Linked DNA regions of Cricetulus griseus. The protein of the gene in region 2 interacts with the protein of the main gene of each other region in a biochemical or structural test. Links are inferred from orthologs where the notes say so. Each region holds a gene or a part of one and is shown on either strand. Other genes may lie near its edges.

Region 1 (3,598 bases), about 84 Mb from region 2:
CAACCATCTATAATGAGATCTGATGCCCTCTTCTGGTCTGCAGGCACACATGAAGACAGAACACTGTATCCATAATAAATAAATCAATCTTTAAAAAAAAAAAAAAAAAAGATTCCAGCAACCCCCTCCTCCCAAAAAACTACTAAAGATGAGAAAAACCTCTTATTTTAATGTGTATATTTGTATAGGCATGGACATTCTTGTGTGTGTCTGGTGTTCGTTGGAGGCCAGAGGACAACTGGGAGTCAGTTCCTCCGTCTACTGTTGTGGGTTCCAGGAACTGAGCTCAAGTTTGGTGCCAGTCATGGAGCTATCCTATTTGCCCAGAAGAACATTTATAATTAAAAGATCAGTTCATCAGGAAGACATGATAATTAATATAATTAAGATTTCTTTTTATTTTATATGTATGAGTACTGCCTGCATGTATGTCTGGGTACCGTGTGCAAGGATTACATATGGAGGTCAGAAGAGGGTGTCAGATACTCTGGAATTGGAATTGTAAATGATTTTGAGCCAGGAGTTGGTGGCGACACAAGCCTTTAATCCTAGCATTTGGACACAGAGACAGGTGAACCTCTTTGAGTTCGTGTGCATGCTAGAAACTAAAGCCAGGTCCTCTGCAAGGGCAGTAATTTGTTTTGGTTTTTGGTTTTTTTTCCAAGATAGGATTTCTCTGTGTAGCCATGGCTGTCCTGGTACTTGCTCTGTAGGCCAGGCTGGCCTTGAATTCACATGGGTCTGCCTGCCTCTACCTCTGCCTCTGCCTCTGCCTCTGCCTCTGCCTCTGCCTCTGCCTCCTAAGTGCTAGGATTAAAGGCATGCTCCACCACCACCTGACCCATTATCTTTAAATATACAAGACTACATCACTAAATTGAAATTGTTTGGAATCTATAGATCATGTCAAAATTCTAGCAAGTTTCTTTTCTTTTTTCTTTTTCCTTTTTTTTTTTTTTTTTTTTTGCAAATTGACAAACTCATAAAACTTACGTAGAAAAATGTGGGGGAGATTGTTTTGTATGTATGTATGTGCACCATAATGTGCCTAGTACCTTCAGAAGCCAAAAGAGGGCATTGGATGTCCAAAACTGGAATTTGGTCTATATTCTGGTTGTGAGTTGTTGTATAAGTGCTGGGACCTAACACCTAACATTGAACCTAAGAGCAGCCACTGTTCTTAACCACTGAGCCATCTCCAGCCTGAGGACTCAACTTAAAACTCATTATAAAATGACAATCATCATTACAGATGATAATGACTTAGAAACAGATAAGCAGCTAGGGATATATCTCAGTGGTAAAGTGTCTAGCTTACATGGTAGAATGAGAAAACAGAGTCCTGTGGGTTGTTCTCTGACCTCCACACATGTGCCATGTAGTGTGTACAATAACATGCAAAATATTTTTTTAATTTTTAAATTTAAAAGGTATTTAAATGAAATCTAATGGACTCTAATTCTTTGGGAGCTTGTGTTCATGATTCTATCATGATAAAGAGTATTATCTTGGGGTTGGGAGTCAAATAGTATAGTAACTGGATATATATTTTCTGCATTTAAATCATGGCAATAAAGGAGGAAATACATATAATAATGCTGAGTATGATAATGTATACCCATCATCCAGTATTGGGGAGGCCTAGGCAGGGGAATCTTGAGTTCAACATCAAGTGGGGTTAAATAGACTGTCTCAAAGAAAACCAGGGGCTGGGCATAGTGGCACATACCTTTAAGCCCAGTACTCAGGAGGCAAAGACAGACATCTGAGTTCAAGGCCAGCCTGGTCTAAAGAGAAGTTCCAAGACAGCAGAGCCAGAACTACACAGTTCAGAAACCTTGTCTCGAAAAAGAAAGAAAACAAAAAGGGGGGAGCGTATAAGCCTATAATAATGCCCAATACTTGAAGGTGGAGGCAGGAAGATCAGGAGTTCTAGGCCAAACTCAGCTACCTAGGGCATTCAAGGCCATTTTGGACTAAAAGAATCTCTCAAACAAGGTAGGTATAATAATGCACTCATAATCCAATCACATCAGGGACAGAGAAAAGAGTTGAGTTTCAGGATACCCTGGACTACATAAGAGTTTTAAGCAAGTCCTAAACAACCAAGGTCTGGGCATGTTAGTACAAGTCTTTAATCCCAGCAATTGGGAAACAGAGGCAGGTGGATCTCTCTGAGTTCCAGGCTAGTCTTCGGAGCAGGTGGCAAAACAAGTTTTTATGTCCATTTTTTTCTTCTCTGGTGTTAAGATTCAAGCCAAGTTTTAGAAGTGCAAAAGGTAGAGAATTAAATCTATTTTAGATGTGAGGGGAAGCTGGCAAAGTATGGTATGGCATCTTAGGCACTTGTTATGCAGCTGCTCTGGAGACAGAGTCTTGAAGATTCCTAGAGACCAGGATTTGGGGGCTAGCCTTGGAAACATAGTCATACACCCTCTAAAAGAATTCTCAGAAAAAGTTTTACAGAAGCCATTTAGCTGAGTCCTCACAGATGAATGATCAAACTTAACTGCCTTCAAAGATGGAATTTCTCCTGTTGTTACATATTTAATAAGAATGAAATTGTTGGACCAGGCATAGTGAGGCATGCCCTTTCTTTAGTTCTACCACTCCAGGCATAGAAGGCAGATGTCTGAGTTCAAGGCCAGCTAGTGAGACAACATAGTGAGGCCCTAAAGAGAGAGACTGTCTTACTTGAGCCACCTTGAGCATTTATGTTTTAGGTAGCAGTTACAAAGTTAAGAAAATACAGATCATTTGATGAAAGTAGATAATTTGCTCTTTTTAGATGCAAAAGAAAACAATCTTTGGGACATAAATATTAAGGTGTCATTCATGTACATAACTAATGTTTGAATGGGTTTTTTTTGTTTATCCTAATTCTGCCTTTAGTTCTTGACTCTTCCAGAATATTGTTACCTCATACTTCAAAATTTCTCATTGTAGGTAGGAGGTCAAAAGAAGAAATTTATCCTTAGGTCTTGCTTCTAGTCAATAGTTAATGCTGTCATCTCTATAAATGGTTTGCCTGTACCTCTAGTAGAAAGAGAATCATATTTATGGGTCCTGAAACCACTGGGAACGCTATCTCTTATCTCTTTGGGTAGTAGAAATATTAGGTATTAATTTCACATGTCCTGAGTTTTTTGTGTCTGAAACCTAAAAATCTCTTTTCTAGGTATGGTCTGTCTGGCAGCGATGTCCTAGATAATGTAGCATATGCTCGAGGGTTCAACACAGACCACCAAACCCAGCTCCTTTATCAAGCATCAGCCATGATGGTAGAATCCAGGTATGTATTCAATAAAAGACATTTAAATGTATCCCCATAGCCCTTTCCTGAATCTGCATAATAATTTGAATAGAAATGGGAGACATTTAAATTTTAGGGATTTTAAGAGGGGGCATTGTTTGGTTTGTGGTTTTTGTTTGTTTGGGTTTGGGGAGGTAGTTTAAGACAGGGTTTCTATGTGCAGCCCTAGCTGTCCTGGAACTCCACTCTGTAGAACAGGCTGGCCTTGAGCTCAGAGATCCATCTGTCTCTGCCCCCCAAGTACTGGGATTAAAGGTGTATACCAGTATTGTCCAGCTTTGTTTG
Region 2 (3,647 bases):
CATTTCCGAGGGTCTCTCTGCAGGAAAGCTGGTGTTACAGATGTGTGCTAGTACATGGGTTATGCAGATTGGAACTCAGGTCCTGACAACTCCTCAGCACAACTGCTGAGCCACATCCTCAGGAAAACTTCCAAACACATATGTGGGGCACTTGTGTGCATTGTCCCTGTGCTGGACAGTTTTATGTCAACTTGACATAAGCTAAAGTCATCTGAGAGAAGTGAACCTCAGCATTCGGGAGACAGAGGCAGGTGGATCTCTGGACCCTGTTTGAGTTCTTGTTCCAACTTCCTTTGATGATGAGCTGTGATGTGGAAGCAAAAGCTAAAAAAGCCTTCTCTCTCCAGTTTCTCTGGCCATGGTGTTTCATGTCAGCAGCAGTAGCCAGGGCTGACTAGGATGGTCCCTAAAGTACTTTATGTGTTGTGTGGGTCTGACCATTCAGCTTCTCATCAGTGTGAGTCTGGGGTTAAAAGCACATCTGTTTAAAAAAAAAAAACAAAAAAAACTAACTATAGATTCTGTTGAGTAAATACCCTTTATGAATCCTTATCAGCTAAACTTTGTCCTGCCTGGTCGCACTCAACTAGACCCATGGCCCATCAGCCCATGCTGGGGGCCCCTGGGAGCCTTTGTGAGTTCAAGCACCACCCTCAAAAACAGACTTTAGTGGGTCTGCAGGAGAGTCAGATGCTGGTCCAGCAGTACTCAGAACATAGCTGGCATGCAGGAAACTCCCCACATGGCTGCCAATACCATCCCTGTATATCTCTAGCCACTTCCAGACCCAGCTGCATTGCCCTCACTAAACCTAGAAGAGTGCAAAAACACACTCCGGAAACTACAGGGATCCCAGCTTGGGCCCAGGGACCAAGCCTACAATGAGTGACTCCCAGGCTGCTCTATTTGGCTGAACATTGTTTATTGCCATGTATGTCCTGGAAGATGCCCACAGCACTGTGAAGAACACATGGAAAGGTGGGTTTGCTTCTCGGCAGGCATCCCAGTTTTTTGCCTATCTAAGCAACTGCTGAATGGCTCCCTGGGGGAGAATGGCAGCTCTGGGCAAGAGGTAGATCCCCTTCCCTGGAGCTGGACCACTGAGGAGGGTCTGCTGTTCTCTGCCAGCTCCACTGACAACTGTCTGCTCGCCTTCCCTGGCTTGAAGGGTGAGAAGGCATGGACATACCGCTTTCTCCCAGGCCTTTCATGTGGAGAAGCTCGGGGGCATCAGCTGCGTCTTTCTGCTCTGCAGCTCTCCGGCAGGTCCTGGTCTTGGTGGGCAGCTCTGGGGCCTGCAGCATGCTGCCAGCAGCTCCTCTCGTGCCCCGCTTCCCCAGCTCCTTCTCCACTTCTAAGGATCACACACACACAATCCAGCAGTTGTCAGCAAAGGTGCCGTCTTGAAAGGGATTCTCTTTTTCCTTTCTTTTTTCTAATTTTTTATACATATTTCTTAATCATTTTTTTTTGTGTGTGTGTTTGTGCATATGGGTGTTTTACCCCCTGGGACTGGAATTGTGAGCCACCACCATTTGGGTACTGGGAACTGAGCCTGAGTCCTCTTAGTCACTGAGCTGTCTCCAGATTCCAGGACTCTCTTTTCTTAAGGTCTATGCAGTTAGGGAAAAGGGACAAATGCTGAAGAAAGAGCACAGCATTTTCTAGAACTCTGTGTAACTCCAGAGACACAGGACCAGCCTCTGCGCAGAGTTCTGTCTCTCCCTTGGCCTGGGCACTTTTACAGGAATGAACTAAAGGCCTGTCTAGCCCCAATCCAACTTTTCAATCCACTGCATGCTCCCAGGAGGGACTTTACCATCTGAGATACTGGACTCCTGGAACATGGTTTCAAAGGCTTGGTGGATTTCAGCAAAGGAGGGCCGGTCAGAGGGATTCCACTGCCAACCTGGACAGAAAAGACCCATGTCAGAGCAGGGGGAAGCACTGCTATCAAGCCAGGGCTAGTCATCCCAAGGAACGATCTGGACATGATGGAGGCACTCCAAGCCTGCTAACTGCTAATGCCATGGCAAGTTAAACTGCCAATGCTATTGTGTCCTATTACAGATGTTAAGAATTTTAGAAGAGGTGGGAGGTGGTGGTGCATCCCTTTAATACCAGCAATCAGGAGGCAGAGGCAGGCAGATCTCTGAGAATTAAAGGCCAGCTTGGTCTACACAGCAAGTTTTGAGATAGCCAGAGCTGTTACACAGAGAAACCCTGTCTTGAAAACCTAAAACAAAATAAAACAAACTCTGCACCAACAATCCAGCTTTTAGAAATATCAAGGTTAAGTATAGTGACCTTGGACAAGAGTCTATCTCTGCCTTGTTTATAGCAAACACAGGACCCTCAAGATAGCACTTGCTGCCAAGACTGATAACAAGTTTGATCCCAGGGATCCACATAGTAGAAAAAGATAACTAACTCCTGCAAGCTGTATACTGTGGAATATACAACTACATAAACAAACAAAAACAAATAAATAAAATGTAACAAAAGTAAATGTGTGAAACAGCCAAAAAATCATCACAAGAAGACAGATGAGTAGAAGTTTTAAACACCTGATGTATTGAAGGTGGGGAGCAGGGTGAGGAAAATCAAAATATATGAATAGGGAGCAATGTCTCAAACACACTTCTAAGAAGAAAAAGGTGAGGGAGTGACCATATGAACACAGACGATAAGACTATGTGTAGACACACACCACAGGCAGATAGATGCACACATACACTCACATAAACACCACTAGAGTTCCATCTCCTGGAGCACTTACAGCCAGGTGTGTGGAAGCAGGACCAGGAATCTGCCTACTAATAAGAACCCAGGTTTGGTATTCATCTGATCCTTTTATGCTTAAAAAAATGAAAGCACATGGAGCCGCACGCCTTTAATCCCAGCACTCGGGAGGCAGAGACAGGCGGATCTCTGTGAGTTCGAGACCAGCCTGGTCTACAAGAGCTAGTTCCAGGACAACCTCCAAAGCCACAGGGAAACCCTATCTCGAAAAACAAAATAAATAAAAAGAAAAGAAAGCACACAGGCACAGCAGTGTACACCTAAAACCCGAAAACCTGGGGTCCAAGCAGGAGAGTCACCATGAGTTCCAGGCCAGTCAGAGCTACAGAGTGAGATTCTGATCCACAACAAGAAACAAATCAAAAAATATCCCTCTCAAAGGCAAACGAAAAACAACTCATATGTATGGTATCTGTAAATAAATGCCCTGACAGGCACACAAAAGCCAGACTCCATGAGTGGCTTGGGAGTATGGGAACAGTGCCAAGGGCCCACTGAAACAGCCTTCTGCAGACCTGCACCACTGCAATTTCTTCAGGGCCCATATGTACTTTCTGAACGGGTTGGGGAGGCTCACATGCTCGCATGAGTTCATAGACCTTCTCCGGGCAGCCTTCAGGGCGCTCCATACGGTAGTCTTTTTCCAGCAGCTCATAAACCTGTGACAGGTCAATTCCTGGGTAAGGTGACATGCCATAGGTAGCAATTTCCCAGAGCAATACTCCAAATGCTGAAAGAAAGAAGGGAGAGGAAGACATCAGGGTATGTGAGGTGTTGGCCAGAGAGATGACTCACAGTGGGTAAAGTGTTTGCCTCACAAGCCTAAAGACCTTTTCGATAAGGAA
Region 3 (4,225 bases), on a different chromosome or scaffold from region 2:
GAAGACTTCCCAGATCCACCATTCTGCATTATTCCACATATATTTTTACAAGTGCCAATTCCGGCCCAGGCATTGTTCTAGGTCCTTGAAGGCCTGCTGGGAAGAAGGCCAGTATGGCTCTGTCATGCCACTGGGAAGACAGATAATAAACACACACACACAAACCGACGCCCTGACTTTAAAATGGCAAATACAACATTGCCAAGCAAGGAAGTGACATGTCTGCTTTCAAGACACCCAACCAGTGTCCCCATCCTGCACTGCAGCAGTGGTCACTGGACAAGGGACAGCACATCTCAGAGCCTTGACCTCTAGGACATTGGTAGAGTTCCCTGGAATGCAGTGGTTCACAGTTACCCCTAGATCACAGCACCTAGAACTGTCTCTATACCACAAAATCCACTCACCCCCCCTTTTTTAAGATGGGGTCTTGCTGGCTTTCACTAGGTAACCAAGGATAACCCTTAACTCCTCATTCTCCTGTTTAGCTCCCCAAGTACTGGGATTACAGATGTGTGTTCCGATTGCCTGGCTTTGATTGTTGAGAGTATGATTAAATGATTCCTTCTCTCTGGAAGGTATATGTTGAGTTTTCTGTCTGTAACAAGCCACTTTCCTGAAGAAGGCCTCAGGTTCCTTGTTTATAAAATGGAGACATTGGGAGGAGAAAAATAAGATGGACACACTAGTCTCAGACTGTTGTATTACTACCAACTCTGCCTGGTTAGTCTTCCATTGATCCCAAATTGTACTCGTACTGACTTGGCCTGGATTGGTAGGTAATCAGATTTTTTTTTTTAAAAAAAAATTCAGACAGCAGGCAGGACCCAGAAGTGCTTCTTTAAGCCATAGCTGGATCTGCACTGAACTCTAAAAGCCCAGAATTAGAACTGAGCACAAAAGGCAGGGCCTATGGAGGTCCCAGAGTCTTGGTTCCCATGAGACCAGCTCCGTATCCTGCCTGCGGGGTTCTCTGAGCATCCTTTTCAGACATTCCAGGTCCTTACCCTGGGACTGCACGCCACACCCCCTGTGTCTCATTCCCAGAAACAGCTTTCCTACCCCACCCCACCCCAGTCCCTTACTGCTGGTTATCAAGCTTCAGTCATTGGACACCATTTATTGAGCCCCTGTGGAGTGCTCTGTCCTGTACAAAGCATTGCAGGGAGGGAGGGCATATCATGGAATAGAGGGCCATGTTGTTCAGGGCCGTGAAGTCCCAGAAACCCTGTCTATGCCTCTGGGTGGTAGAGAGGCAAAAGGAGCTGGGACCATCTTCTCCCTCTGCTCGATATTAGATACCAGATGGGCTTGCCCCTTCTCATACACTCTCCCCTACGAGAGAGGGGCATGCAAGTGGGTAAGAAGGAACATTGGTGGCCTAGTGACTACTTTGGAGACCTACACTGGCTAGATGTGGGTCTGAAAGTCAGGGTCCACACTTCTACCTCCTGGTAATCGTGCATGGCATGTGAGCTGGTGTCCTTGTGCTGAGGCCCAGGAGAGTGCCTCTGATACTGGAAACAATTCTTCCCTAAGAATCTCTGACTGCAAGTGGCCTCTGCCCTGCATTTTCCAGGCTGTCAATAGCTGTAAGAGTATAAAGCCAGTGACTGCCTACACTTTATGGCTCTTAAACTCTCATTATCCATACTCCCCACCCTGGCCGGGAGGGGTGTGTGTGTCACCCTCTGTAGCTTCTTAGGCTGTGCATGCCCTCTTGTGGCTATTGGTGGGCATTTTCCTCTGCTCAGATTTGCAGCTGGCTTCCCTCTGGCCTTGAGGGGTAGTTTGCTAAGACATTTTGGCAATTACCTGCAGTGGGCCCACAAGCTTTGTGCTGTGCCTTATGGTCAAGCTTTTGCAAGAGCCCCAAAAGAGGAGTACAAAGACAACGTTTGTGGAGCACCGCTCTCTGTTCTGGAAACTTCTCTTCCTGCTGGTGGGCATTACTTCCCAGGGTCCAGTTTCCCAGAAATACTGAAGTGCCTCACTAGATTTCTGATCTTGAAAAAAGGCTGGAACATAGGTGCTTTCTCTCTTGTGACCTGATCTCCAGTGCAGTCTCTGAACTGACTGAGGAAGAAGACACAGATGAGACCAGCCTGGTGGGGGCAGGCGCCCTAAAGAATGACGTGGCTTCTAACACCTGTCCTGTTCTCCCTTTCACCTGCCCAGTCTTTGTCACCAAGTATCCATGTGGGGCCTGGATCACTCCTGGAGCCCTGCAAAACAGTACTCATATCCCCTCTTTGCAGACCAGGGGAGAGCTGTTTGGGGACCTTTGCTGTCATTCTGCCGCCACCCTGGCCCCTGGAACTAAGAGCGATTGGAATTGTTCAGGGACTTGAAATGCCAGCAACTCTGCCTGTGCCCATGGGCAGCACGAGAGGCAAAAGAAGCCAGGAACACCCTTCCTCCTATGCTGGAGTTGGCTATTGGATGACTTTGTTCCTTTCCAGGGACATTTATCCCTGTGGACTAGGGAGGAACACAGGCCAGGGGCCTTGGACACAGGGTCTTGGAGTCTCCTAACTCTCTTAACTTGCCCTAGTCTATGTGTCCAGCCCCCATTTCCTAGCAGGTGGACTCATGAAGATCAGATAGAGGCAGTGGCAGACACAACAGAGAACTGGGTGTGGGTGGTGAAGGAAGCTTGGCAGCTGGGAAGAGCATATTTAGAGGCTCCTGGAGGCCCAGGTGACCCTCTTGGCTCTTTCTGGCTACTCTTCTGCAGCCTGGCTTCCCTCTGCCTTTTGCTCCTCTGGTTGTACACGACCTCCTCTGGCCTGATTCTCGCCTCCTCCTTGGTCAACAGTTGTCTCCAACTCTCCCTCACTATTCCCGCCCCCTTTCTCCTCCTCCCATGCTCCCGCCTCTTGCCTCTCACTGCCTGCCTTTGCCTTCTCTGTTGCAGCCCCCTGGGTCTCAGGCCTCTCTGCACGGCGGTAGATGAGGTAGCCAGTTGCAGGAAGCCCATGGGCCAGGGCTTCAGGGGGCAGACGATGGTAGCCCTGGTCCTTGTAGAGGAAGAGGCCGAATGCATCAGGATGGGTCACTCGGAACTTGGTGGCACAGAGTTGGCTCAGGGTGGCAATTGATGACCCTGGGGGTACTGCCAGGGTCTTGGAGGTGCAGCCTGTGCTGGGGTCCTGGTAGGCTACTCGGAGGAGGTGCTGTGCAGAAGACAAGAACAAGCCCTCAGCTATGCTGGGTGGTCACCTCCAAAGCAGAAGGGACAGGCTGAAGCTGTGCAGGAAGAGGGTGGGGTGGGTGACAAGAGCCCCGTGAGCTCCAAGGGGACACTGGGGCAGAGAGAAATGTGTTTGGGCTAGTGGTGCACGGCCAGCCCAGAGGGAACTTCAGAATCCTGAAGAGGTGGGTCCACTGTGTGCAGGGCTCTTTCTAACTGTTCCTGGGGCTAGTTACTTCCTGCTAACCCCAACATTCACCAGTGCATCTAACCTTCATGGCAGCCCAGATGCCCATTTTAGAGACTGGGAAACCAAGGCACAGGAAAAAAAAAGTGATAGAGCTGGGGCAAAGGTATAGCTACAAAGTCTAGACTCATAGCAAGACTGAGAAGGTTGAAGTTCAAGGTAGTGCACCCTGGCCAAGGCCCAAATGGGAGCATAGATGGAAGCTTGACGACAAGGAAGGTAGAACCTTGTTTGGTATTGGGGACCAAGAAGTTCTCACGCTCCACTTCAGTTTCTACCTCTTTATCTGTAAAATGGGGCAAACAATGCCCTACTTCAGAGTTTCTGTGAAGATTCAAGGAGCTGCCCTGGAGCTCAAAGCCCAGTGCCTGTGGCATGAAACACATTCCCTACACGGGCTGCTCTGATACTTAGATGGGCCTCTATTTCTATTGTAGGCTGATGCAGGGCTAGAGGAACGGTGCTGGGTGATGTCAGAGTCTCTCTGATCGCGGCCAGTTGGGGTAGACATGTGGAAGGGCCCCTTACCTGGAAGTTGTAGGTGGCCGGCAGGCGGCGCTGTTCCCAGAGGGCCAGAGAGCGCTGGAGCTCCTGTGCCGGGCTGAGTGGGAGAGCGCGGGCCTGGCTCAGGCCACTCAACAAGGCCAGGCTGGCCGACAGGCTGGTCAGGTAGTAGCCGCCTAGGAAACAGGGTACAGCTCAGGCTGGAGTAGGGCGTCCTGCCTTCCCTTCCTTACTTGCTCAGGACCTGCTAGCGACTAAGAAGCCTCAGTTCCACCTGGACA

The links.
Region 1: the proteins of Abl1 (region 2) and Rad51 form a complex in vitro, tested with the Homo sapiens proteins (2 studies listed by BioGRID). The link is inferred for Cricetulus griseus from reciprocal best matches to the Homo sapiens genes ABL1 and RAD51.
Region 3: of the proteins of Abl1 (region 2) and Rin1, one has a biochemical effect on the other in vitro, tested with the Homo sapiens proteins (2 studies listed by BioGRID and IntAct, with this or other methods). The link is inferred for Cricetulus griseus from reciprocal best matches to the Homo sapiens genes ABL1 and RIN1.

The regions. Positions count from the first base shown.
Region 1 is NC_048599.1:59,357,665-59,361,262, reverse strand, and holds part of Rad51 (DNA repair protein RAD51 homolog 1), read left to right. Parts: intron 1-3,178; coding exon 3,179-3,292; intron 3,293-3,598.
Region 2 is NC_048599.1:143,528,122-143,531,768, reverse strand, and holds part of Abl1 (tyrosine-protein kinase ABL1), read right to left. Parts: intron 3,533-3,647; coding exon 3,380-3,532; intron 1,910-3,379; coding exon 1,820-1,909; intron 1,355-1,819; coding exon 1,190-1,354; intron 482-1,189; exon of another isoform or gene 2-481; intron 1-1. UniProt on the Homo sapiens protein: Non-receptor tyrosine-protein kinase that plays a role in many key processes linked to cell growth and survival such as cytoskeleton remodeling in response to extracellular stimuli, cell motility and adhesion, receptor endocytosis, autophagy, DNA damage response and apoptosis.
Region 3 is NC_048596.1:54,230,153-54,234,377, forward strand, and holds the end of Rin1 (ras and Rab interactor 1), read right to left. Parts: coding exon 4,219-4,225; intron 4,121-4,218; coding exon 3,969-4,120; intron 3,177-3,968; coding exon 2,724-3,176; 3' UTR 2,077-2,723; coding exon of another isoform or gene 1,950-2,076; 3' UTR 554-1,949; downstream 1-553. UniProt on the Homo sapiens protein: Ras effector protein, which may serve as an inhibitory modulator of neuronal plasticity in aversive memory formation. Can affect Ras signaling at different levels. First, by competing with RAF1 protein for binding to activated Ras.